6 linked regions of the Canis lupus familiaris genome follow. The protein of the gene in region 3 interacts with the protein of the main gene of each other region in a pairwise test. Links are inferred from orthologs where the notes say so. Each region holds a gene or a part of one and is shown on either strand. Other genes may lie near its edges. The genes, in order: IYD, ASNS, TRIM69, FAM110A, NEK8 and FKBP1B.

The links.
Region 1: the proteins of TRIM69 (region 3) and IYD interact in binary tests that used the Homo sapiens proteins (3 or more experiments, as listed by UniProt). The two-hybrid records come from large-scale screens. The link is inferred for Canis lupus familiaris from reciprocal best matches to the Homo sapiens genes TRIM69 and IYD.
Region 2: the proteins of TRIM69 (region 3) and ASNS interact in binary tests that used the Homo sapiens proteins (3 or more experiments, as listed by UniProt). The two-hybrid records come from large-scale screens. The link is inferred for Canis lupus familiaris from reciprocal best matches to the Homo sapiens genes TRIM69 and ASNS.
Region 4: the proteins of TRIM69 (region 3) and FAM110A interact in binary tests that used the Homo sapiens proteins (3 or more experiments, as listed by UniProt). The two-hybrid records come from large-scale screens. The link is inferred for Canis lupus familiaris from reciprocal best matches to the Homo sapiens genes TRIM69 and FAM110A.
Region 5: the proteins of TRIM69 (region 3) and NEK8 interact in binary tests that used the Homo sapiens proteins (3 or more experiments, as listed by UniProt). The two-hybrid records come from large-scale screens. The link is inferred for Canis lupus familiaris from reciprocal best matches to the Homo sapiens genes TRIM69 and NEK8.
Region 6: the proteins of TRIM69 (region 3) and FKBP1B interact in binary tests that used the Homo sapiens proteins (3 or more experiments, as listed by UniProt). The two-hybrid records come from large-scale screens. The link is inferred for Canis lupus familiaris from reciprocal best matches to the Homo sapiens genes TRIM69 and FKBP1B.

What each region holds. Positions count from the first base shown.
Region 1 is NC_049222.1:41,294,055-41,298,258, reverse strand, and holds the start of IYD (iodotyrosine deiodinase 1), read right to left. Parts: upstream 2,801-4,204; 5' UTR 2,679-2,800; coding exon 2,498-2,678; intron 1-2,497. UniProt on the Homo sapiens protein: Catalyzes the dehalogenation of halotyrosines such as 3-bromo-L-tyrosine, 3-chloro-L-tyrosine, 3-iodo-L-tyrosine and 3,5-diiodo-L-tyrosine.
Region 2 is NC_049235.1:22,693,092-22,697,069, forward strand, and holds the start of ASNS (asparagine synthetase [glutamine-hydrolyzing]), read right to left. Parts: upstream 2,801-3,978; 5' UTR 2,670-2,800; intron 2,425-2,669; exon of another isoform or gene 2,200-2,424; intron 1-2,199.
Region 3 is NC_049251.1:11,648,055-11,652,027, reverse strand, and holds the start of TRIM69 (E3 ubiquitin-protein ligase TRIM69), read right to left. Parts: upstream 2,801-3,973; 5' UTR 2,585-2,800; coding exon 2,579-2,584; intron 2,307-2,578; exon of another isoform or gene 2,191-2,306; intron 1-2,190.
Region 4 is NC_049245.1:20,607,904-20,612,002, reverse strand, and holds the start of FAM110A (protein FAM110A), read left to right. Parts: upstream 1-1,299; 5' UTR 1,300-1,543; intron 1,544-4,099.
Region 5 is NC_049230.1:42,893,858-42,897,858, forward strand, and holds the start of NEK8 (serine/threonine-protein kinase Nek8), read left to right. Parts: upstream 1-1,201; 5' UTR 1,202-1,281; coding exon 1,282-1,328; intron 1,329-3,467; exon of another isoform or gene 3,468-3,652; intron 3,653-4,001. UniProt on the Homo sapiens protein: Required for renal tubular integrity. May regulate local cytoskeletal structure in kidney tubule epithelial cells. May regulate ciliary biogenesis through targeting of proteins to the cilia.
Region 6 is NC_049238.1:18,594,660-18,598,754, reverse strand, and holds the start of FKBP1B (peptidyl-prolyl cis-trans isomerase FKBP1B), read right to left. Parts: upstream 2,801-4,095; 5' UTR 2,675-2,800; coding exon 2,638-2,674; intron 1-2,637. Other genes in the region: WDCP (WD repeat and coiled-coil-containing protein), read left to right, coding at 3,783-3,964. UniProt on the Homo sapiens protein: Has the potential to contribute to the immunosuppressive and toxic effects of FK506 and rapamycin. PPIases accelerate the folding of proteins. It catalyzes the cis-trans isomerization of proline imidic peptide bonds in oligopeptides.

The sequences.
Region 1 (4,204 bases), on a different chromosome or scaffold from region 3:
CTTAAAATTAATTTTCAGCATGGTTTGAATCTGGTATCCATTTGCTGTCATCAAAAGCAACTCCATGTTTCTTCAGTAATGGAATCATTTCTCTTATGTCCCACTCAGTCCTCTATAAGCCTGCAGTACCAGCAGTGAATCCTCTCTTAGACTGTGTCCACCCTTCCAGGGGTCAGGAGCAGGGAACTGGGTGGCAGAGAAGCCTGGGTTTAAATGTTGCTTCTCACCGATCACCTATGAGACCTCAGCAGGTACCACTTAAGCGAACAACAAAAATTCCAGCGAGAAACTGAACTCTACATTCAGAGCAGAGTTGCCCATGGGTGCTGAGGAGGCCACTAAATGTTCAAGTTATTCTTCTGTGTGAGGACTAGAGAATAAGAGGCAGAGGATTTTGCAAAAATGAATAAGTAGGCAGAGGACAGAACCAGATGGAGCCATATAGCTTTGTTATGTGTTCCCAACCTTTAGGCCCAGCCCCAGGTCCCTGGTTCCCCACCAACCTCACCAATCCCTCTTGTATCCCCCAAACTACCTCAGATCTCTCAGGAAATTTGAGAGCCTGCTGGTGGTCTCCTGCCCACTCTGTTCTAGCTTATTCTCCTATTAGAAAGGCAACCTAGCAACTGGCTGTGTGCCTGGACTACAGAGCAGACAGCCTGGGTCCTGGCTCTACCACTATCTGCTTGAGCAGGTAACTTAGCATAGTTTAGCCCCAATTTCCTTATCTGTAATATGGGGAAATAATAGTGGCTGCCTTGCTGTATTGACGTAAAGACTGAGTGGTTTACTATACATAACGTGTGATGCTGAGTAGACACAGCCAGTGTTCCATAGGAGCCTACTGTTGTCATTATCCTGGAGCTCCTTCCCCAGATGGTCTTCTCCGTGGTCCCTTTTTCACACCACAGGCCATCTTACCTGCAGGTGCCCCAGATTCCCCTCAGCAACATCCCCTTAGGGGATTCATCAGTTTTCCAAGTTTTAAGTATCACCCTGGGCTGATGACTGTCCAATCAGTATCTATGGATCTCTCACCTGGACCACCTTTCGCTCTCTGCTTAGATGTGTCATCTTCTCAAATCCAGCACGTCTTTGTGTATGTTCAACCTCTTTTCTATGAATCCTCTCCCCTCCCCCATTTATGATAGCGTTGTTGTGCCTCCTCCAGCCTCCAGCTCTCATCCTCTCCTCCTCCCTCTATCCAGTTTATTACCAAACCCTGTTGTTCTTCCTTTAACTTTGCCCTGACTCACTCCTTCCCCTGCATTTCCACTGCCACCATCGTCCGGGCCATCCTTACCAGGGCAGACCATCACAACTGCTTCATAATGGATGTCCCTTTGTTCAGGAAAAGTGCTTCTCAACTGGGCACTTTGCAGAACTGACATTTGGGTGGGATGTCCTTCAGTGAAAGAAGGAGAGGCAGGCCTGCTAAGAGCTGCCTTGCTTGAATCCTGTGCAGTACCTTCAGCATTGCTGGCTCCCAGCACGGAGTGCCAGGTGAACCCCCGCCCCATATCCTGAGATTAGGGCAACTCTGAACACACATACGTGCACACAGGCACATCAGCACACTTACATGCATGTCCAGGTGGTCTTTTCGGAGGGCAGGAGCATCACTAGTCCAGCTGAGAATCACTGAGCCTCTTCTAAAATTGAATCCATCCCACCAACCCACCTCAGATGAATCTCAAACACCGATCACTCAAGCCTCCTCCAGAACCTCTCCCTGCTTGCCTGCTCCTTACCACCTCTTCATCCTCGGGTCAGCCACGACCGGGCCCATGCTCACCATCCCATTTCACATCCACCCTTCCCCCACCAGTGAGATCCCATCTTCTCAGCAACTTTCCCAGGAGTTCTGTCCCTGCTTTTATGCTCTTTCTGCTCCTTTTAGCTGAGATGCATCCTAACCATGACCATTCCAGTCCTATTAACCGGCCAGGCCTGACTTGTCCTTTCTCTGCTGCCCCACCACACCCCTGTGCCTCCTGGAAGCCCCTGATGATCAGTTTGGCTCTTCATTATGTTGCTTGTTTATTGGCTTGTCCTCTAAGTTGGACACCCAGCTTTGAGGACACAGCTGACGGGCCTCTCACCCACAGGAAGGGTAGAGAGCCCCTAGACCAATGCCAACTTTTACATTTCTAAGTGCTTGATCCAACCTCACCACCTCCCCCGTGACCACCATGAGCCTGTGATGTGCCCCTTCGGAAAGATTTAACAGCCAGAACAGGGTCAAGGAGAATGGCAATCTCGCCACAGCTGTTTACTGACTCTTTATCCAGAAATCAATCGGAGTGGTGCCAGCAGGTGCCAAGCCGACCACCTGAGAGAAATGATCTGTCTCTGTCACATGCTAATCCGCACAGCAGAGGGGGCTGCTGAAACAGACCTGCACGTGTTTCCTGCCCTCCCTAAGCCCTGTCACCCCCTGGCACCCATCAAAACAATGCAGAAGGTGGCAGCTATGCAGCTTTGCCCGTGTCCTTACCTTCTTCTACTTGCTGGAGGTCAGTACTGTCCTTTAGGTCCTCATCCACCCAGGGACGGGTCTGGGCCCTGGCTCTGTTCTCCCCCTTCCTCCCCTCCATGCTTCTTCCATCAGCATTTTTAAAGATCCATGCAATCAAAATGCAGACGACTGCTACCAAGACTGGAGTCAGGAAAAACATGGTCTGAGACCGACTCTAAACGGTGCACACTCTTCCCACACGGAATTTAAACAAACAGAGCCAGGAACGAGGAACGGTGGGGGCTGGGGTGAAGGAAGAGAGAGGTGTGCTGCCGGGGGAGGTGAACTCTCTGACTCAGGACTTTGCAAAGGAGCAAAGATCATGGCATGTGCATTCAGGGTGTGTTGGGGGGTTGGTAATGCACAAGTACATTCATTTTTTAAAATTGCGCTCAATCAGTATATTCTTAGACAATAACTGCCAGGATCTGAGTAAACACTTTAAGGCACCAGACCTTACTAACAGTGGTTGAAGGGGTTTGATCTTCCCGTTTTTCTCCCAGAGCAAGGTGCCTTCAACTTGCCTGAAGCTAGGAATCACCTGGGGAACTTGTTTTTAAAAGAGATTTTTAGGCACCAACTCAGACCTAGTGAAAGAAAATGTCCAGGAAAAAGGACTGGTGATCTGCATTTTAAAAACAGCATATTTGTAAAACAAATTCAAAAGGTTTTGAATTTTTTTTTTTAAATGAAGCCTGAGACAACAGATAGAGCAAAGACATTTTTGTGTTTTGCCTTAGAGAAATGCTTTTTGATCCAGGAAAAGTGATCCACAATCATTAAAAATGATGGTTTGGTTCATTATATGACTTAGGTAGGGTTTGTTTGTTTGTTTTTGTTTTTAAGCAACTGTCAGCATTTGTTTAGCAAATGTTGATTTGGGTCTGTGTAACAAAAATACCATAGGCAAAGTGGCTTAAACAGAAAATTTTTTCTCACCATTTTTGAAGCTGGGAAGTCCAAGATCAAGTGGGACCCAATCTGGTTCCTGGTGAAGGTATTCTCCTGACTTGAAGGTGGATGCTTTCCTCCTGTGACCTTACATGAGGGAAAAGGTAGACCATCTCTCTCATGTCTTTTTTGCCACTGTTGCTAATGAGGGCTCCACCCTCATGACCCCACAGAAACCTAAGTCACTCCCAAAGACCCTGCCTCCCCGTACCATCACATGGGGTGGGGGAGTTAGAGTTTCAACATCTGATTTTGGGGACAGGGGGACAGAAGCATCCAGTCTATAGTAGCAAGATACCCTACTATGTATAATACGATACCACTGGAATGAAAACAGCAGAAAATACCACATATTTATATGTGCTTATATATTCATAACATTTCATGAAGGATTATTCCATAAATTTAAAACAGTGATTATATCGGGACTTCTCTGTACTAGTTTGGCAACTTCTTCTGAGTCTATATTTACTTTTAAAAAAAGTTTAGGAACAACAGTGGCTACTTCTTTTGGATGGACAGTGGTATTGGATAAAGTGGGGGACAAGGGTGGGAGAGAGAATTGTTACTGTATACTATTCTATAACGTTTAAATTTTTTAACTGTTATCATTATATTACCTATCCAAAAATTAAAATTATTTAAATAGTCCTTTTTTATTTTGTTTTATTTTATTATACATTTTAACTTTTTTTTTTTTTTTTGTAATAGACAACTATTCTTTTGATACATGTT
Region 2 (3,978 bases), on a different chromosome or scaffold from region 3:
ATGTTATCTAGGATCAGATATCCTGGCTGTATAAGAAAAAAAAAAATTTAGGTTGATAGAGCTGCATAATGTTCATCATCAAAATGTTCCAAAAGACAAAAATATTGGAGAATATTTTTATCTCAAGGTTGCCTTGGTTCATAAGAAAGCAAAGTAAGTGGCACATAAACAGCAACATCATCTCTGAAAAACAACTTGGCCATCCCTATAGGCTAAAAAGCAAACAATTCCTACAAATGTTACCTTGCAATTTCATATTCTCAACTGTGAAATAAAGGGTTGTTTTATCTGGATGCTGTCAGCCAGGTATTTTACCAAAATATCTCGAACTTAGAAACTATTTGGGAATTTTTTTTTCTTTTTCTTTTCTTTTTTTTTATTTGGGAATTTTTAATTCAAAATTGCAGCCAATGCCTAATTTGAGACAAAATTATCAAGAAAATTTATACATTTAAGTTACACCAGTCAGTTTGGACAATCCTCTGAGGGTGTTTGTATCTAAGTGAACCAAAGCTTGTTTAGCCTTTTAACAAGACCATATCAAACTGATGAAAAGTAGGGACTCAAACAACATGAAGTGGCACGTGTCCTATGTAGTCCCTTCCATGCACTTGGCCAAATAGCTTCTTCTTTTTTTTTTTAAGATTTATTTATTTATTTATTCATGATAGACATAGAGAGAGAGAGAGGCAGAGACACAGGCAGAGGGAGAAGCAGGCTCCATGCCAGGAGCCTGACGTGGGACTCAGGATCACGCCCTGGGCCAAAGGCAGGCGCCAAACCGCTGAGCCACCCAGGGATCCCCTGGCCAAATAGCTTCTAATGGGATTTTTGAGATTAGGGGAAATTTACTTAGATTGAAATGATATGACTACTGATAAGCCAGGTTTCACTCTATACCAGTTAAAAATGGACTGAGACAGTGCTTTGAAAATCACAAGAGGGGGACGCCTGAGTGGCTCAGTGGTTGAGCGTCTGCCTTCAGCTCAGGGTGTGATCCTGGGATTAGGGATCAAGTCCCACATCAGGCTCCTTGTAGGGAGCTTGCTTCTTCCTCTGCCTGTGTCTCTGCCTCTGTGTCTCTCATGAATAAATAAAAAAAAATCTAAGAAAAAAAAAAAAAGAAAAGAAAATCACAAGAGGTCATTACTGAATCATTTACCCGTCTTCCTAATGCAGCTTAGTGAATCCCACTATTAAGTCTACTATAAGGAACACACATTAAGCACTAGAGGAGCAAGAAGGGGAACACACATTAATTAGGAAGCACACTTCCTTCTGCAGCAGGAAAAAGCACATTAAAACTATTACCTATTTTTATTGGACTCTTACTTGCAAAGGTCCTACTTGCGTGCTTTTTCCTTCTGCTATTACCTGTTCCCAGGAATTCTCTGTATTTCCTCATAAACTTCTAGAACAGTGCTGTCCAGTAGAAACGTGAGCTACATATGGTATTTTAAAAACACTAGTAGCCCCATTAAAAAAAGTAAATAGAAACAGGGACGATAACTTGAAATATGTTTTAACATAATATACCAAAAATAGTATTTCAGTAGGTAATCAGTATAAAAAATTATCAAGATACATTGCCTTTCTCTATTAAATCGTCAACATCTGGTGTGTCTTACACTTACACCACACCTCAATTTGAACGAGTCAGCATTTCAAGTTCTCAGTAGTTACATGTGGGCTGAATTGGACAGTGCTGCTTCGGTGCATTTGATTTCGAGGCTGCTTACCAACTACCTCACCATATTGTTTTATTTTTGCATTAAGATATCAGCAACCGACTCCTGGACAGGCTCAAGACTTAAGTTATTATTATTATTTTTTAATCTTACAGCAATTTGATCAATGAGAAAAGGGTCATGAGTGCTTTTAAATGGTTAGGCAAGGCACCCAGGGCAATGGCCTATGAAGAAATAATGTAGGCCAAGGGCCCAGAAGAAAACGGTCCTTTTATTCAAAAGAGTAACATTAATCTGAAACTAGCCCTACGGAATAGATATCCATGAGAAAGGCAAGTCAGTTCTTTTGCTTTGTTCCACGCCACTCCGCCTGTCGCCCTGACAGATCTCTTCTGGGTGAGGTTTGCTCAAGTCACTTGTGGAGTCCTGCAGTCTGGCGGGGAGGGTGGGGAGGGTGGGGAGAGGGAGGGGAGGAAACGGGTGGGGCGAGCCGGAGGTGAGGGGCACGTACAGACCCTTAGGCTTGGACAGACGGCCCGGGGATCCGACCAGCTGCTGCGCCGCCCGAAACTCCGACTGCCCCGCAGCCACGTGCAGCCGCCGGCCGCTTCCCCGGACTGCGAACATCTCCACAGGCTTCGGTGCAATAGGATTACAAGCTGTGAGATGTACCGGGGCCCGGGTGGGCCGCAGCCCGGCCTCCCCTCTGCCTTTCCCCGGGCCCCCTCCTCGCGGGGCCGGGAGCGAGGTGTTCGCTCCCCCGCGGGCTCCCAGGTGCGCCACAATCGGCCCCGCCCCTCGAGCCGCAGGAGCCGCAGGAGCCGCAGGAGCCGCAGCGCGGGCAGGCGGCGGCCGCCTGGGGCCCGGGGCGCGCAGGTCGGCAGCAGCGCCCCGGCCGCCTCCTCGGCCTCCCGCCCCCTCCCCGGGCCGGCCCGGGCCACGCCGGGAGGGCGCTGCGCTGGGCGGCCGGGCCTGGCTTACCTGGGCTCCGGCGGAGGCGTCGGCGGGAGGCGCCGGGTAGGGGCTGCAGGTTGCGGGCGGGGCGGCGGGCCTGCTCGGCTTTCTCCCGGCCTCGCTCCTGTAATGCTTGCGGGAAGTTTCATCATGTCTGTGGGCGCCAACCAGCGCGCAGGGGCGTGGCCCACGATGCGAGACCTTGGCGGGGCGGAGCAGGAGCGGGGAGCAAGGACCGACTGCTCCGTTCCAGCTCCTTAAAGTGTTAGCGCACCTGCTGGAGGGGAGAGCCTCAGAGGTCTAGCCGGGTGCCCCGCTGACACCTAGGGTGACCTCACCTGCTCTTCTGGCCATGAGGAGGTCTTCTGCCCTTGGCTTGTTCTTTGGGAAATCATCGCCAAATTGATCAGTGTCCCCTTCGCATCAGATCTCCCTCATGTCCTTAATTGCAAAGGTTTTAGGTGCACAGGTATCCACTGCGCTCTAACAAAAAGGCCCGCATGGGTACCTGTTTTTGCTACCTGAAAGAAATCAGAAGAGGATTTTTGCTTTTAGGGGGGAAAGGCGAAAAATGAAAATAGCGTTCAGTTTTTATTTGGCAGCCAGCATGGATGGAGCAGCAAGAATGGCACTGCCAAGTTCCCTCCCCAGATCTGCACTCAGCATCAAGGTGCCCTAGCTTTGAACAATGTCTTAGAGCATCTGTGCTTTATCTCCATTTATATCGTGCATTCGTTAGCAGGATGTGTCCTAAGGTGTCAGAAAGGCCTAAGAGAGGTTATTTTGAGGATCTAAGAAAACCCATTTTCCATGTAAAGTAATGAATGGTAACTGCTTCTTCATTTTATGTCATTTCGGCCTACAAAATGTTTCATAGGAACACTCTACTTTGAGATAGCAGGGAAACCTGTACTTCAGTTTCCCCTTGACTCCTAAGAGAGCATCCGATACATAGACGTGTATGTATACATACAGAAAGATCTGTCCTATTAATATATAATGGGGCAGATGGGAAGAGCTGGAAGGATATCATCTTTCTATTAACTATGAGGTAGATTTCACTATCTTCTATCTCAGACGTAATTAAATTTCTCCCCCTTCTGGATATCAGATCAGTGAATTTTTATTTTGTGTTGGATCATCATCAAACTTGTGATGCCGTTATATTCGCCTTCAATTAGATTGTCACTTTCCTGGTTGTGTTGACTTGACCTTTTGAGCCTCATTAGCAGCTCAGTGGATACCACTAGGTAGATTCTCAAACCTGTATTCAATTGGATTCAGTTCTTCATCGTATTTTGTCATTGACAAATGTCAGTTTCAGGAAAGGATGGAG
Region 3 (3,973 bases):
ACAGATGGCTGACAGATATAGGAAAAGATGCTGAACATCACTCATCATCAGGGAAATGTAAATTAAAGCCACAATGAGGTACCACCATACACCTGTCAAAATGACTAATACCAAAAATGCAAGAAACAACAAGTGTTATTGAGGATGTGGAGAAAAGGGAACCCTTGTGCACTATTGATAGGAATGCAAACTGGTGGAGCCACTGTGGAAAACTATGGAGGTTCCTCAAAAAATTAAACATAGAACTACCATATGATCCAGTAATTTCATTACTGGGTATTTACCCAAAGAATACAAAAACACTAATTTGAAGGGATACATGCACCCCTGTGTTTTTTTTTTTTTAAGAATTTATTTATTTATTTATTTATTTATTTATTTATTTATTTATTTATTTATGAGAGACACAGAAAGAGAGAGAGGCAGACACAGGCAGAGGGAGAAGCAGGCTCCATGCAGGGAGCCTGACATGGGACTCAATCCCGGGTCTCCAGGATCACATCCTGGGCCAAAGGTGGCGCTAAACCGCTGAACCACCTGGGCTGCCCCACCCCTATGTTTTTTGCAGCATTATTTACAATAGCCAAATTATGGAAACAGCCCAAGTATCCATCGATAGATGAATGGATAAGGAAGAGGTGGTATATACACACAACAGAATATTACTCAGCCATAAAAAGGAATGAAATCAGGCAGCCCGAGGGTGTGGTCCTGGGGACCGGGGATCGAGTCCCATGTTGTGCTCCCCACATGGAGCCTGCTTCTCCCTCTGCCTGTGTCTCTGCCTCTCTCTCTCTCTCTCTGTGTGTCTCTCATGAATAAATAAATAAAATCTTAAAAAAAAAAAGAATGAAATCTTGCCATTTGCAACAACATGGATGGCTCTAGAGTATAATGCTAAGCAAAATAAGACAGAAAGAAAAATACCATATGATTTCACTCATATGTGGAATTTAAGAAACAAAACAAATGAAGAAAAAAAAGACAAAATAAACAACTATAGAGAATGAATTGGTGGTTACTGCAGGAGTGGTAGGTGGGTGGATGGGTGCAATAGGCAAAGAGGATTGATTGTACACTTACTATGGTGAGCACTAAATAATGTGTAGAATTATCATATCACTATATTGTGTACCTGAAACTAATATAATAACACTGTATGTTAACTATACTGGAATTAAAATTTTTTAAAAAGTATATCTTAGCGGGATCCCTGGGTGGCAGGTGGTTTAGCACCTGCCTTCTGCCCAGGGCGTGATCCTGGAGTCTCAGGATCTAGTCCCACATCGGGCTCCCTGCCTATGTTGCTGTCTCTCTCTGTGTGTCTCTCGCGAATAAATAAATAAAATCTTCAAAAAAAAAAAAAAAGTATATCTTAGCTAATGCCAGTTCTAACTTTTTAGAATTTATAACTTTAAAAAAAAAAGAATTTATAACTTTTTTAGAATTTATAACTTTGTATAACTTTTTAGAATTCTAACAGGTATAAATAACCCCAGACTTCACTGTAGTGAAAAAAAAATGATTAGTTCTTCAGTCAATTTTGAAAGATGCAACTAAAGATAAAAATAAGTAACTGGAAGACCAAAAAATGTTTAATTCCTGTGAGTATGAGCTCTACTATAAATATAAAATATCAAATGTTATGGTATAACTGGCAAACAGTTATACATAATAAATTTTTTCAACCTAAAATAAAGTGATTAAGATGGGTGAAATATGTGAAGAGGGGGCAGCTGGGTGGCTCAATGGTTGAGCATCTGCCTTTGGCTCAGGTCATGATCCTGGGGTCCTGGGATTGAGTCCCACATCCAGCTCCCTGCAGGGAGCCTGCTTCTCCTGCTGCTGTGTCTCTGCCTCTCTCTGTGTGTCCCTCATAAATAAATAAATAAAATCTTTAAAAAAATAGGTGAAGGTAGATTAAGAGTTCACTTATCTTGATGAGCACTGAGTAACATATAGGATTGTTGAATCACCATATTATACGCTTAAACTAATATAACACTGTATGTTAACTATACTAGAATTAAAATGTGAAAAGGATGAAACAGATCCATGCATACTGAAACAACAAAACAATCTTTAGAATATAAAAAATAATTAAAGTGATTAGTTAATAAAGAAAGTACATTTTTATATAGCATTTAGTTTGATTTTTCTCAAAAGTTTACGGTGGGCATCACTACTTACCTACCAAACTCTCTTATCTAAATTCTCAGTTATTCCAGGGACATCTAGGTGACTCAGTTAAGCAGCCAGCTCTTGATTTCCACTCAGGTCGTGATCTCAGCATTGTGGGATCTAGCCCCATGTCCAGCTCTGTGCCCAGCAGGGAGTCTGCTTGAAATTCTCACTCCCTCTGTCCCTCCTTGCCCCCCCCCACTAAAATAAATAAATCTTTAAAATAAATAAATAAATCCTTAGTTATTCCAATACCCTAAGAAAGTATAGCAGCTGTAAGCTGCCACAAATATTTCCCTAAATTTCCTTTCATGCTCTGAAATCCATATCCCCTTCTGCGACCCAGTTTCCCACACTATGCCTAGAAAATCAGGTGAGTTAGAGAAGGGTCGCTCACCTCCATTAAGCTCTGTCATCAGGCCACTAGGGAGCAGATGCAGGCACTTGAATCCTAGCACAACAGGCTCAGGATAGCTGCAGACCAGGAGTCCGGGACCTGGTAGTTTGCTAAGAATGGGCTAAGACCATGACGGAAGGAAGAAAAGTTCAGGAGCTGAGGAGATAGGGCAAGGCCAGAGAGAGGTCTGGAGGATTCCGTGGCAGTTTGTCAGTTTTGATCATCATTAGCTTAAGAGAAAGAGAAACCCTAATTGGAATGGCCTACCCACCCACCCTTTTTTGTGGGGGAGGGGAAAGGCAACTCATTTAGATTCAAGGTGGGTCTAATCCTGAGATTGATATATCCCCAATTCTGAACTGAGATTCTCTAGGAAAGAGCAAATAAGCATCTGCCTGTAAGCCTAATGCATGAGAAATAATCACTTATCTCTGCTTATGATCCCAGCATTGAGATGCCACCTCAATGGCTTTAATAGAGAGCTATTCCACCTCTCAGATCTCATGTTCCATTTGAATAGCCCTGACTCTATTTCTGAGAACGAAACAAATGCCTGGAAAACCCTAGGCCCTAAGGAAGCAAGATGAGGAAAGCTTCATTTCTTTTTTGAGCAGTTTTAGTTCACAGAGATCTGTCCTTAGACTGTGCTGAGTGACCCACATATAAACAGCCATCATGGAACCAGATTTTCTTACAGTAATTCCTCTAATGCAAAAGATTTTATAGAATATCTAGCTCCTACTAAATGCCTCACTGTCCAGTCTTAATGCCCACAACTATTCCTCTGGTGTTTAGGATTGCCCAAATATGTCAGGGTCTGTAGCTTTGCACATGTTGTCCCCCTCCCCCAATCATTATTTCTTTAGTAAACTCTTCCATAACCAGCCCCACCAAGCTTTACTCCCCTCCCCCATCCTTTGTAGAAAATATTTTGCTGGCTCTATATCAGAGTTTCTCAACTTCAGCCCTGTTGACATTTTGAGCTAGCTAGTTTTTGTTGTGGGGACTGTCCTGTGAATTTTAGGATGTTTAGCCATGTCTCTGGCTTCTGCTCACTAGATGCTAGTAGCACACCGCCCCCTCTTGTTATGATAGTCAAATGTCTCCAGACATTGCCAAATATCTGCTAGGTGTATGGGAGTAGGACTCATTCCCAGTTGAGAATCAGTGCTTTATACATTTCTGTAGCACCCTAGATTTTTCTGCATACCTGTACATAATTATTTTGTTAGATTTCATGTCTATCCCTTCACTAAATTGTGAACAGCTACTGAGTAGTGCTGTAACTTGCTCACCTTAACAGTACATGTCATTTGTTGGATAAAACTCCTTATCAAACAAATGGCTATGAAATTTTGATAATCAGCTAGGAACTATGTTCCTAAGTTTAAAAAA
Region 4 (4,099 bases), on a different chromosome or scaffold from region 3:
GCTAGTGATAGCTGGTGATTAGTCCCCCTCCCCCACTGGCCCAAAATATGTATATAGTAAGTGCTCAGTCAATGACAATCCAAAGAATGAAAGTCTCCATCTGGATTAGAAAACAGGTTGGCTTCAGATTCAACAATGCCCTAGACCCAAACAGTGACTCACAGCTGTGAAATTTCCTCATCTCAAAGGGTGCTTAGAGTTCATTTATTCGAATCCTTTTTAAAAACCTGTGGTTTTTTCCATTGACATATTTAAGTGTTGGAAAGTGGAAAATCCACAAAAGCACAACAAAGAAATGAACTGCTATTATAAATGATTATACATGTGACATTGCAATTATGTACTTAATATGTAGTTATGTGTACATAGTGCTTTGAAACATACTTTTATTTTTATATTATAGTTGCACAGAGAGAGAGGCAGAGACACAGGCAGAGGGAGAAGCAGGCTCCATGCACCGGGAGCCTGATGTGGGATTCGATCCCGGGTCTCCAGGACCGCGCCCTGGGCCAAACGCAGGCGCTAAACCGCTGCGCCACCCAGGGATCCCTGAAACATACTTTTAAAAAGCTTTCTTTGCATTTTCCTCATACTTTAAATATCTTTAACTACATCATTTTTAATGACTGCATTACAGTCATCGGGACTGTGGGGATAATTAAGGGTACCTATCTCAAAGGGTTATGCCATGAGCACTGACCGGAGCTATGTCATGTGAAGAGACCCAGCATTTGTAAAAGGCTAGATAAACTTAGCTCTTCCGCAGGATGGCTTTATATAACCAATCCTTTTTTTTTTTTTTTTTTTTTTTTGCTGAGCATTGGAGTTATTTCCATTCTTTTGCTATGGCAAATAACGCTGGGCTATATTAATCTTTGCTCATATCTTTGGTCATTTCCTTAGTAAAGTTCAGGACTGCTGGGTTTGCACATTTCACAATTTCCCACTGAGCACGTAGGGGAACAGAGAGAGAAAGGGGCTGGCCCGGGCTCACACAGCGAGCTGCAAAGGCGGACCTGGAGACTAGCTGGGGAGCCCAAAGGGCGCCTCATCGTGTTGGGGACCGGGAGGAAGGCCTGGCCAAGGGAGAGAACCAGGCTCCAGAGCGGCGGCGGCCGCGGGAGCAGCAGGCCGGCGGGGCAGAGCGGCGCTGGGCTGGGGGGCGAGGCTGGGCGCTCGCTCGCGGGGCCCAAGCTAAGCGGTCGCCTGGCAACCCAGGCGGCGCGGCGTTCGAACGGAAGCGAGGAGCCAATCAGGATGTCCGGGGCAAACCATTCGGGCGGCGGGGGGAGAGCGGCGAGCTCACTTCCCTTTCCTCTGCGCCCCGGGGACCTCCGGGCCGGCGGGGGCCTGGGGACAGCCTGGTGCCCCGGTCCGTCTCGGGTACGCGCAGCCGCTCGGAGGAGGCCCCTGCGGGCCCCCACGCCGGGTTGGGGCGCACCGAGCCGCCTTGGACGCGGCCATTCCCAGCCCGGGTCCGAGCTGTCAGCCTCTTCCAAGACCCGCACGGGCGGAGCCGGGACTCGCCGAGCTCGGGCTTCAGGTGAGGGGGCGGGTGGTCTGGGTCGGAGGGGGTCCGGTCGCCGAGCGCCTGCTGTATACGTCCTCCCGGCGTCGTACGTGCGGGAGGAGGTGGTACCCCATTTCACCGAGGAGAACGCTGAGGCGCCCGGAGGCAAGTGTCCCATCCCTGGCTGAGAATCCAGTTCACATCTTTCAGCTCCACCTCGAAATCTCCAGTCTGGGTAGACCCAGATTTGCCTGGAGAGGTCCAGACGCTCAACTGGTGGTCAGCTCCTCAGCCTGCAAGGCTGCTATGCCCTGGAGCCCAGGCTGGATCACCTACCTCCTGCGCCGCTCCTGCATTGCCCCCTGGGTGCCCCCTCTGGGCATCTGTCTTCCCTTCTCTAGGACGCCAGAGGTTGGATTCAGGGCTCGTTTGGGGTCCTTCTGCCCACAGGGTACTGAATCGCAGTGCCATCTCAAAGGGCTGTTTTGGGGGATCCGACTGGACCGACGTGTCTTGGTTAGGTGCTAGGTGGGCAGCAGGTGCTTTGGCCCTGGAACCACTGTTAGATTCTTGAGAATCTGCTCCAGGCTGGGGGAAATGGGTAAAGGCAGCCACTGAACGTTAAGCCACTAGTCAGCAGAGACTTTGGAGTTCAGGATGGGGCTGCTGACACCTCTGGCTGGAGCAGCATACGTAGACCAGGCCCTGACTCCTGGGGATGCTCTGGGAACTCAGAAAGAAAATAAGTCTTTCATTTATTCTTTCAACAAATATTTATTGACTTTGTATGCCATGCCCTGCCCTCCCCTTTGTCTATTTTGTTTCTCTCAGTGGCATTTGCCCATCTAATGTCCTCTGTATTTCACTTATTAGGGAGTTGATATCTTCTTCCACTGGAATGTGATAGGAGGAGGGGCTAAGGTGGCCTCCCGGGCAAAATTGAGGGGTGCCAAAACCTCTAATCAAGATAACTAAAGCTAACAGTTATTATTTTCTTAAAGATTTATTTATTTTAGAGAGAGAGAGATGGAGTGTGGGAGTGGGTTGGGGGATTGAGGGTGAGGGGGCAGAGGCAGAGGGGGAGGAGAAACAGATCCTCCTTTTGCAGGGGAGTTCAAGGGGGGAGGAGGGGAAGCTGGATCCTAGGACCCTGAGATCATGACCTGAATGGAAACCAAGACTTGGAAGCTCAACCGACTGAGCCACCCAGGTGCCCTAAAGCTAACTGTTACTATTTGCTGCGTGTTCTGCTGGTAGAGATCAACTCACATGGCCTCTATGGAACACAGTACACCGTCTCTGTCACGATTACAAGCACGTCCTCAGCCCAGCTGTCTCACTTCTAGGCAACGCAATGTAGGTGCAGTGACGCCGCAGGCTGGTTTGTAATAGGGCAGGTCTGGACACACACTAAATGGTCATCAGCAGGGGCTGACGAGCTCTTTATGTTACTGATGTGCCACCACACATATTTTTGGACAACATATATTATTAAGTATATTAATACATATATTAGAATTAATACTATATTAACATTATTAAAACAACATGTATTATTGAGTAAAAAGAGCAAGGTGAATACAGTACACACAGCATGTTGCCATATGTGTACAAAAATAGAAAGAATTTATACTCATTATTGCTTGATCTGCCTAAAATCTCCCTGGAAGGACACACAGTTGTCTGGTTACAGTGGCACCTGCAGGGAGGGGAACTGGGTGGCTGGGGACAGGGGTGGGAAAGAGTTTGTTTTTTACTTCATTCTCTTCATAGTTTTTGAATTTTGAGTCATGGGCATATATCATCTGGTTGCATTATATACATATGAATCATTATAGATGATATATTTGATCATAAGACCAGTGCCCCATCTGTGATCTGTCATTGACTTGCTGTGTGACTTTGGGAAAGTTTCTTCACCTCTCTGGGCCAAGATAAGAAGCCATGATGGCAAACTCAGGTCTGGGAAGAAGGCAGTCCAGGACAGGAAGTGGGCTTGCCCCGGAGTCTACCCCAACCTCCACCTTCACTATCCTTGTGAGCCAGGACCTTCCCTGAGGCTTTGCATGCAGTCTCTGTCTCCACTGCAAGCCCGTTTGTCCTCATTTTGCAACTTCAGGTACACACTGAGGCACAGATAATTGAGCTGGTGGAGCTGAGCTGTCCGCTGGCCGATAGAAGATCAGTGCTTCAGGCGTCTGTGCCCACAGCCCTCCTTCAGTCCGCTCACCTCTCTCTTTCTGAGATGTGTGCAAGTGTGCCCTGGGCAAGGCCCACTGCAAGCAGGTCAGGGCATGAGTGTCTGGGGAGACTCCAGAAATAGCACGGAGCCTGGCGTGGCCCTGGAGGATGCCCAGCTGGGTGTCTCTGACCCGGACAGCTGGGCTGAAATCGAGCTGGCCTGCCCTATTGGCTGGCCCCCTCCCTGCTGCCTGGAGCCTTCCTGATCCTCCTCTGGGGCAGGTGAGGGCCTCCCTGTCTCCACCCAAGTCAGGGCCTGGCTTCTGCCGAATGGAAAGAGCGAAGCAGGTGGAAGGAAGGGGTGGGGTGGGGGGTGCAGAATGTCATGAAAACTATAAACGTCGAAGC
Region 5 (4,001 bases), on a different chromosome or scaffold from region 3:
GAGGTTTGGGTGTTTGTTCTGCCTCCTTTGATGGCTCCAAGATTACATATTAACTAACCCCTGTGGGGCTCCTGGGTCAACCACGGCTCTACTGGTTTCTAGGTGAGAGCACGAGTTTCCCGGGTTGAGCGGCTTTCCTCCTCTGAGCTCTCTTTTGCTCACAGGGCAGCTTTGTTCATCAGCCAATAGCAGCCTGAGCCAGCGACCCAGGGCCCCTCGTGGGGCCCCTCTAGTGGTCTTTCCACGTGGGCAGGTTTGAGTACCCTTTTGAGGGGTTGGGCGGGACAGAACGTAAACACTGCTTTCCTCCCATTCCTCGCCCACTCAGAAATAGGGACGCTGTCCCTTAGCTAATCACCATCCTCTTACTCCTTAACCGAGCTTTTTATGGAGCTCGCAGAGCAGAAGGCCCAAGGAGACAACAGGAATTAAACTCACTTCCAGTCAAGACCCTAGATGATCATACTAACCAGCCCCCTACAGTTTAGGCAGGAGCCTTGAACCCACATGGGTCAAACAGCTCTCCTTCCTCCTCTCTCTGATGCTCTCCGATAGTGGTGTACTTCTCTCATCTTCTCTCCGCCTGGCAGATTCTCCCCACAGTTGAGCCTTGAAGGCGATGGCCTGCAGCCAAGTTGTGTGTTGGTGTGTGGGGGCAGGAGGAGTGATGAAAGTGCTGGCGAGCGCGGTGCTCACTAGCTGGGACAGCCTGGAGTTTCCACATCCCTAGGTGAATCAATTTGCACAGCTTGGGGTTTCCCAGGTCCCTACCTAGGCAAACACGAAACTAACCCGGCACCCTGCCCCACAGACCGAGAGTGCTGATGCTCTCTTGGTACAGTTTTGGTAGTTGATCATTTGAGTGCCAGTGAGAATCTGCTCTCCTTCCGAAATAGCATCACTAGTGGGCAAAGAGGTGGGCTGAGAGAGGTCAGTCGTCGCTTTCCAACCTCGCTGGTTGTGCAGGGCACCCCTCCGCTCAATGGATGCTTCGCGAGGGCCAGATGCACACCTGTTTTTAGGCAGTGGCTGGTCCTGTCCTAGGCGCCAAAAATGGCATAACACCCCACTGCTGGGACCCTGAAAAGGCAACTGTGGGCGGGGGCTGCAAGGACTGTGTAAACAGCACAAGACAGATGCAAAGCTGAACCCACATCAATCTCACTTGCTCCGCCCCGCAATTATCTTGCAGCGTAGGGGGCGTGGTCCTGAGTGGGCGGGTCCGCGCACGCGCCGCATCGGGGCGGGGGGGGTTCCGGAAATGTGACTCTGAGAAATAAGATGGAGAAGTACGAGCGGATCCGAGTGGTGGGGAGAGGTGCCTTCGGGTGAGCCAGGGATCTGGGGAAGGAAAATGGTCGGGGAGAGGGAAAGTAAGCCCCAGCTCTGACCGCGAATTCGCTGCCCGGTTAGCCCCGCCCCGAGGCGTGAGCGCCCCTTGGAAAGCCCTGCCCTCGCTTCCGGTCCCGGCCCGGGCTGGGAGGCTCCGCCTCTCGCGAGGTCACGCCCCGACGAGCCTCGGCGCCCCCGCAGAGTTCTGTTCTTCGATTCCTGACTAGTTCGTTCCACAGATAGTGAGCCCGGCGCTGTGGGCTCCGGACGCTCCCGGCGACGCGTATATAGTAAAGACCAAAATGAGAGTGTCTTTTCCCTCTCGGAGCTCACAGACTGTAGTAAAATGATACAATAGACAAGTAATTAAAAGTTATTAACAAGCTGCGAGCCTGGAATACGCCAGGGAGTATTTATTTGGGGTGGTCAAGGAAAATTTCCCTGAGAAGTGAAGTTTAAAGCCACGACTTGAGGAATGCAAACCAGCAATCCACAGGTGCAGGCAGAGCTTTTCAGGCAGAGGAAGCAGCATATCCTCACGTGGAAAGGAATTCAGAGTATTCAAGGAACTGAGAAAAAGACTGGTGAAGTTGGAATGTAGCGGGCAAGGTCAAGAATGGTATATAAAGGGGCGCCGGGGTGGCTCAGCTGGTTAAACGTCTGCCTTCGGCTCAGGTCATGATCCCTGAGTCCTGGGATGGAGCCCGCACGGGGCTCCCTGCTCAGTGAAGAGCCTGTCTCTCCCTCTGCTACTTCTCTGCGTGCGCTCTCGCTCCCTCTCTGCCAAATAAATAAATAAAACCTTGAGGGAAAAAAAGAATAGTATGTATAAAAAATAATGGTATAAAATGTGATTGTCACAGAGGACAGATTATGGCATTATAGGCTGAGGTAAAGAGATTGGATTTATTTGAAGTGTAAAGAGAAGAGGTTTCAGCAGAATGGTCTTCATATGATTTGCATTTTTTATTTTTATTTTTATTTTTTTTTAAACTGTTTTTTTTTTTTAATTTTTATTTATTTATTATAGTCACAGAGAGAGAGAGAGAGGCAGAGACACAGGCAGAGGGAGAAGCAGGCTCCATGCACCGGGAGCCCGACGTGGGATTCGATCCCGGGTCTCCAGGATCGCGCCCTGGGCCAAAGGCAGGCGCCAAACCGCTGCGCCACCCAGGGATCCCGATTTGCATTTTTTAAATGTCACCCTGGCTGCTGTGTGGAACTTAGAGTTGAGGATGCCGAAAGTAAAAGGCATCATTTTAAAGGCTAGTGCAGTATTTTAGGCAAGAAATAATGATTTGGACAAGGGTATAGCAGAAGTCAGAAATGGATGAGTTCATAATATTTTGCAGATAGAAACAGGATTTATTGATACGTTGCTGTGAAATGGAGGAAAGATTTTGGGATGATTTTCTGGTGTCTGACTTTAATGGTGGTGTCAGTTACTAAGATGGAAGAGACTAAGGAAGAAAAGAGTTTGGGAGGGGGCACCTTGGTGCTCAGTGGTTGAGCATCTGCCTTTCGCTCAGGTCGTGATCCCGGGGTCCTGGGATAGAGTCTTGCATCGTGGTCCCCGCAGGGAGCTTGCTTCTCCCTCTGCCCCTGTCTCTGCCTCTTTTTCTGTGTCTCTCATGAAAAAATAAATAAAATCTTAAAAAAAAAAAAAAAAAAAGAAAGAAAGGGCTTGGGGCAGAAATCAAAAGTTTTATTTTGAATTTGTTAAAATTTCGGATGTTTGCAAGCAGTTCAGGTAGAAATGCAAAGCAAGTAGTTGGATTTCTGAGTCTGGGTCTCAGAGGAGAGGTCTGAGTTGGAAATACAAATTTGATACTTAGTTGATCCTCTTACAGTCCATTCATTCAGCAGATACTCATTGAGCTCTTACTATGAGCTAAACACTGGGCTATGATCTGGGGATATAGTTAAAAAGGAGAACAAGAACCCTGCTTTTATGGACACTGACTAGAGTTGAAAGAAAATAATTGTATGAACGGCTTCCACTCACTGAGCATTTCTGATGTGCCAAGCACTGTGCTAAGTGCCTTACATGCATTTTCTTTTTCTTTTTTTGTTCTTACATGCATTTTCTCATTTGATCCTCTCAACAACCGAGGGAAATTGTTTTTATCTTGCAGATGTAAATGTCATATAGTCGAAAACTAAGTGAGTAGTAAGAGCAGGAGCCAGGATTTGAGCCTGGCAGTTAACTCCAAAGTCTATGGGAACTTATGAAGATCAAGACTAATGTCACACTGCCTGTGATGAAACTGAGTCTCAGATAAGTTAAATGACTTGCCTAAGGTCTCACACAGAGTTTATGGTCAGTTCTCCCGGTTCTTAAACTCAGTGTTCTATGCATTTAGTTATAGACCTGTTAATCTTGGTGTCCATTCTCAGTCTTTTTTAAAGATTTTATTTATTTGGGACACCTGGGTGGCTCAGCGGTTGAGCATCTGCCTTTGGCCCGGGCAGGCCATGATCCCAGGATACTGGATCGAGTCCCACATTGGGCTCCTTGTGGGGAGCCTGCTTCTCCATCTGCCTAGGTCTCTGCCTATCTCTCTCTCTCTGTATCTCTCATGAATAAATAAATAAAATCTTAAAAAAAATATATTTTATTTATTTGAGGGAGCACAAGTGGAGGGGAGGGGAAGAGGGAGAGAGAGAAG
Region 6 (4,095 bases), on a different chromosome or scaffold from region 3:
TCATGCAGATCATGCCAGACATTGGACATCGTGGAGCTAGATTTAACTCCAAGCGCAATAGGAAGGCACTGGAGAGTTTTAAGCAAAAGGATGACATAATCTGAATTAAGATTTTATAAGATCACTCTGGCTGCTGCCTGTAGGATGGACGATTAGGCGCCTGTTGCAATAATCCAGACAGGAAATCAATTATGGCTTGAATTAACGTGGTGGCAGCAGAGAAGAGAGCAAAATAGATACGTTTGGGAAACGGGGCTGACAGAGTACACTAATGGAACGGAGATGGGGTCCAGGAGGAGGGACAAGGAGAAATCAAGTACAATGCTTGGGTTTTCAGTTTGGGCAATTGGACGTATGGTGGAACGAACTAATTCCAGGTGGGGAAGACTGGGGAGGAGCAGATTTGAGCAGTTGGCAGTCTTGAAATGCCTATTAGACATCTGAGTTTATATTGCAAGTAGGCAGATGGAGGGTCTGCACTGGAGGTATAAATCTGGGTGGAATTTAAAGCCACAGGCCTGGATAACAAATCTTTGGGAGGCAAACAAGTGAGCCAACATGTAGAGGACTCTGTGGGAGTCCAGGAAAGCATCAGAGAGGAGATAAGGTTAAACCAGATCTTAAGAGATGACTAGTTTGCCAGAGGAAGTTAAAGGAGATAATCTGGGAAGAACTGATGACACATTCAAAGGCCTGGAGTCTAGCACTAGTGGGATCCCTGTCTGGCTCACTGCTGTTAACCCCAGGGCCTAGCACATAGTACATGTTCAATAAATATTTGCGGAATGATTGATGTGTTTTAACAACTTTGCAGGAAGCTTGCTGAAGCTACAGAAAAAGGTGGTAGTGGGGGTAGGGGCTGTAGTAAGAGACTGCCCTAGTGTGGAAGGTAAGACCAGGCTAGATTACTATCTGTCTGAGAAGAAAATGGAAGATTCATTAAAGCACAAGGCACGGGGATAAGGTAAGAGGGGAGCAGAAGGGAATGGGAACCTAAAATAGGCATTTTAAAGACTCCTCAGGCTATGGTGTGGAAAATAGGTAGTGAGTTAGGGAGGCCAGATGGAAGGCAGAGAGGTCAGACTGGATGTGTGGAGACCAATGTAGAGGATGTGCAGAAAGCCTGATGAGAGACCATCATCTGAACCAGGGCAGGGGCTAAACGGATGTAGCCTAGAGAATTTCAGCAGAAGGACCAAGTCCTACCAGACTTGCTGCGGGGCTTCACTTAGAATGGTGCCCCCAGCCTAACAATACAGTAGCTTGGCCCTTCTATGCCTTCTTGACTCAAGGGTTTAGACTGTTAAAGCAGAAGGCCAAAGTTTTTTCAGGCTTTCTCGAAAAATCTAATCTCCCTCAAAAGAAAATGGCCCTTGTCCTTGGCCAGAAAGGGAGGATAAGCAGAGAAAACTCTAAAGGCTACTTTGAGTCAGGGGAAAAGAGAAGAGGCCTCCAGCTCCCTGGGAGATCTCAATGGCAATTTCCCTGGGGTGTGACAAGGTCTCAGAGAGATGCTTCCTGGGACCCAGCACTATTGTTCTCAGTGGGGGCAAAGAAGCCTGTACCTGCAGGGTGACAGGGATCGGGACTGGGACCTCTAGGGACCACTGCCTTTTAACAAGGAGGGTGGCCTAGAACCAAGAGGTCTTCCAATTTCCTAGAGAGGGTGGGGGTTGTCAGACATGTCTCACATGAAGTTTGTCTGTCAAATTCTGCAGAAACGGGGGCTCTGGACTGGATTAAGTGTCATTTAAAATTTTTTAAAATAAGCTATTCCTTGCACATCCAGACCCAATTATACAAGAGATGTCTGGCTGGGGAAAGTGAGTGGTGCCGCTCCTGACGGGGGGGGGGGGGGGGGGGGGGGGGGGGCAGGGAAAAGGGAAATACAGAGGAGTGCTTGGGCGTGGGGAGGACAAGGAGCTCGAGTTGTTTTGGACTCGCTGAATTAGGTTTCCATGGGACATCCAGGTAGAGGTCGAGCAGCAGCTGGATAAATGGGTCGGAGATCTGGGCTGGAGGCTTAAGTTTGGAGGCCATCGGTTTGCAGACGGTAATGAAAGCCATGGGAGTGTACAGGATGGCTGGAGAGGCGGAGTGGGGCGGGGAGGATAAAGCAGGATGCAGAGGCGGCGGAGGGAGCGCTTCTTCCTCGCAGACGGGCTCGGTCCCCCCACAACGTCTCCCCGCCCAGCCCACGGGGGCCGCGGGAGCCGAGGCCCTCAGGGGGGCGCGTTGGAAACGGGTTGCCCCAAGAAGGGAACCCTTCCAGCGGTCCCCGGAGCTCACCTAGCAGGGCAGGGAGAGCAGAGCCAAACCCCTGCCCTGGGAAATTAGCAGCGGCAGACAACTGAGGGGCTCCCGCGGCGGCGGCGGCGCCCGAGGCCCCCGGGGCGGTGGCGGGCCCAGACCCCCGCCTGCGGCCGCCGCCTCCGACGCCCTAGGTGAGCCGGCGCGGGGAGGGGGGCGGAGGGTCGTCGGCCAGAGCTCCGACAGTGCAGTCTGGGGTCTCCCCCGCCGCCCCACCCTGCGCCCGCCCCCGCGTCCTCACCCTCCGCGCCACCTCCGACCCAGACCCCCGCCCGCCCGGCTCCGCCCCGGGACCCTTCCTCCTCCCCCGGCTCCGCCGCCCGGTACCGTCTCCCGGGGAGATGGTCTCGATCTCCACGCCCATCGCAGTCCCACTGGCCCCGCCTCTGAGGGTCCCGGCTGCTGCCCCGACCCCGGCTCGGCTGCGGCTCCGGCTCCGGCCCCGGCCCCGGCCCCGCTGGCGCTCCGGCTCGCCTCCCCGCCGCCACTGCAGAGCCGGAGGAGGTGCGGCGGGAGTCGGGACCTGCGCGGGGAGGGGCCACGGGGAAGGGGGCGGCGGGGCGGAGCGGGGCGGCGCGGAAAGGTGGGGTCGGCTGGGGCGGGGCCCGGGGAAGGGACCCCGGCGCCGCGGCTCCCGGGCCTGGCCGGGCCGACCGTCGTTCACGGGGGTGGGGGGGGACGGAGGGGGAGGCAGAGACCCCCGCGCATCTACGCACCCGCCGGTGCAGCCACCCCTCTATGCATCCGCTCATCACAGATTTATCTAGCATCTACTCTGTGCTAAGCTCTGGGGAGTCAACCCGGTCCCACCGACTAGGCGAAAGCCAGCAACTAAACCAACACTTTAAATAGATGCGCTCACTGCCCTGGAGTCCAGAACGTTAGGGCAGCACCCGTTAGGGTACTCGCCCTGGCTCGGCTGCCGGACTGTAGGAGCAGCCTGGGGGTGCGCGCGGGCGGGGGGAGGGGGCGGGGGGGAGGGCACCGGCCATTACCCCACTGCGATCTCCCTAAACCCCTGGTCGCCGTCCCGCGTAGTTCTCCAGCACTCACAGGTAGATGCCCACCTTCAAGGCAAAGAACAGAGCCCTGAGGATACCAATTTAATTAAAGCAGAATCGCTGTCGTCAAAGAATGAAATTTTGTGACGGGCGGGGACGGGGAGAGTTAGTTACAGCGTGGAGTGATTCGTGCTGTGGGATGAATGAATAAATTATACCTTGAGCTCCTCTTCCACGCTAGACCCTTCACCTCCACCCAAAAGAGTTCCAGGAATCTAGAAAAACATCTTTGGAGGAGATGACATTTGCTTGAAGAATGAATGGAACTTTATTTTTTCCCCTCTCTTTTTCTCTCATCTTTCCCTGCATTGTTCTAAAAATCGACGTGAAAGCATGGTTCTGACCAGTGGCACTGGAATATAGGCACGAGGAGAAAAGCCTGAGCAAAGGCACCCAGAGTGGACCCTAGAAATGTTCTTCTTCCACCCCCACCCCCAAGGCTCCCAGATGGTTAGGTCAGACTTGAGGATATCAGCATCACTGAAGGAGCACTGGCTGTTTTGTTCAAGAAAGATGATGGCCAACTGTACTATGAGGGTCAGCATCCGAAATTCCCCATGGACTGCTTCACGGCGTGGCCCAGAGTCTCCCAGGTATGCAGCTAGTCTAAAATCTAGTGATGCACCGGGTCCTTCCTTGGACTATGGTCCATGGGGAGGCACTCTTGGGGAAAGTGTAGGACAGGGGTTTGTAACTCGGATAGGTCCATGGAGCAGCTTCAGTT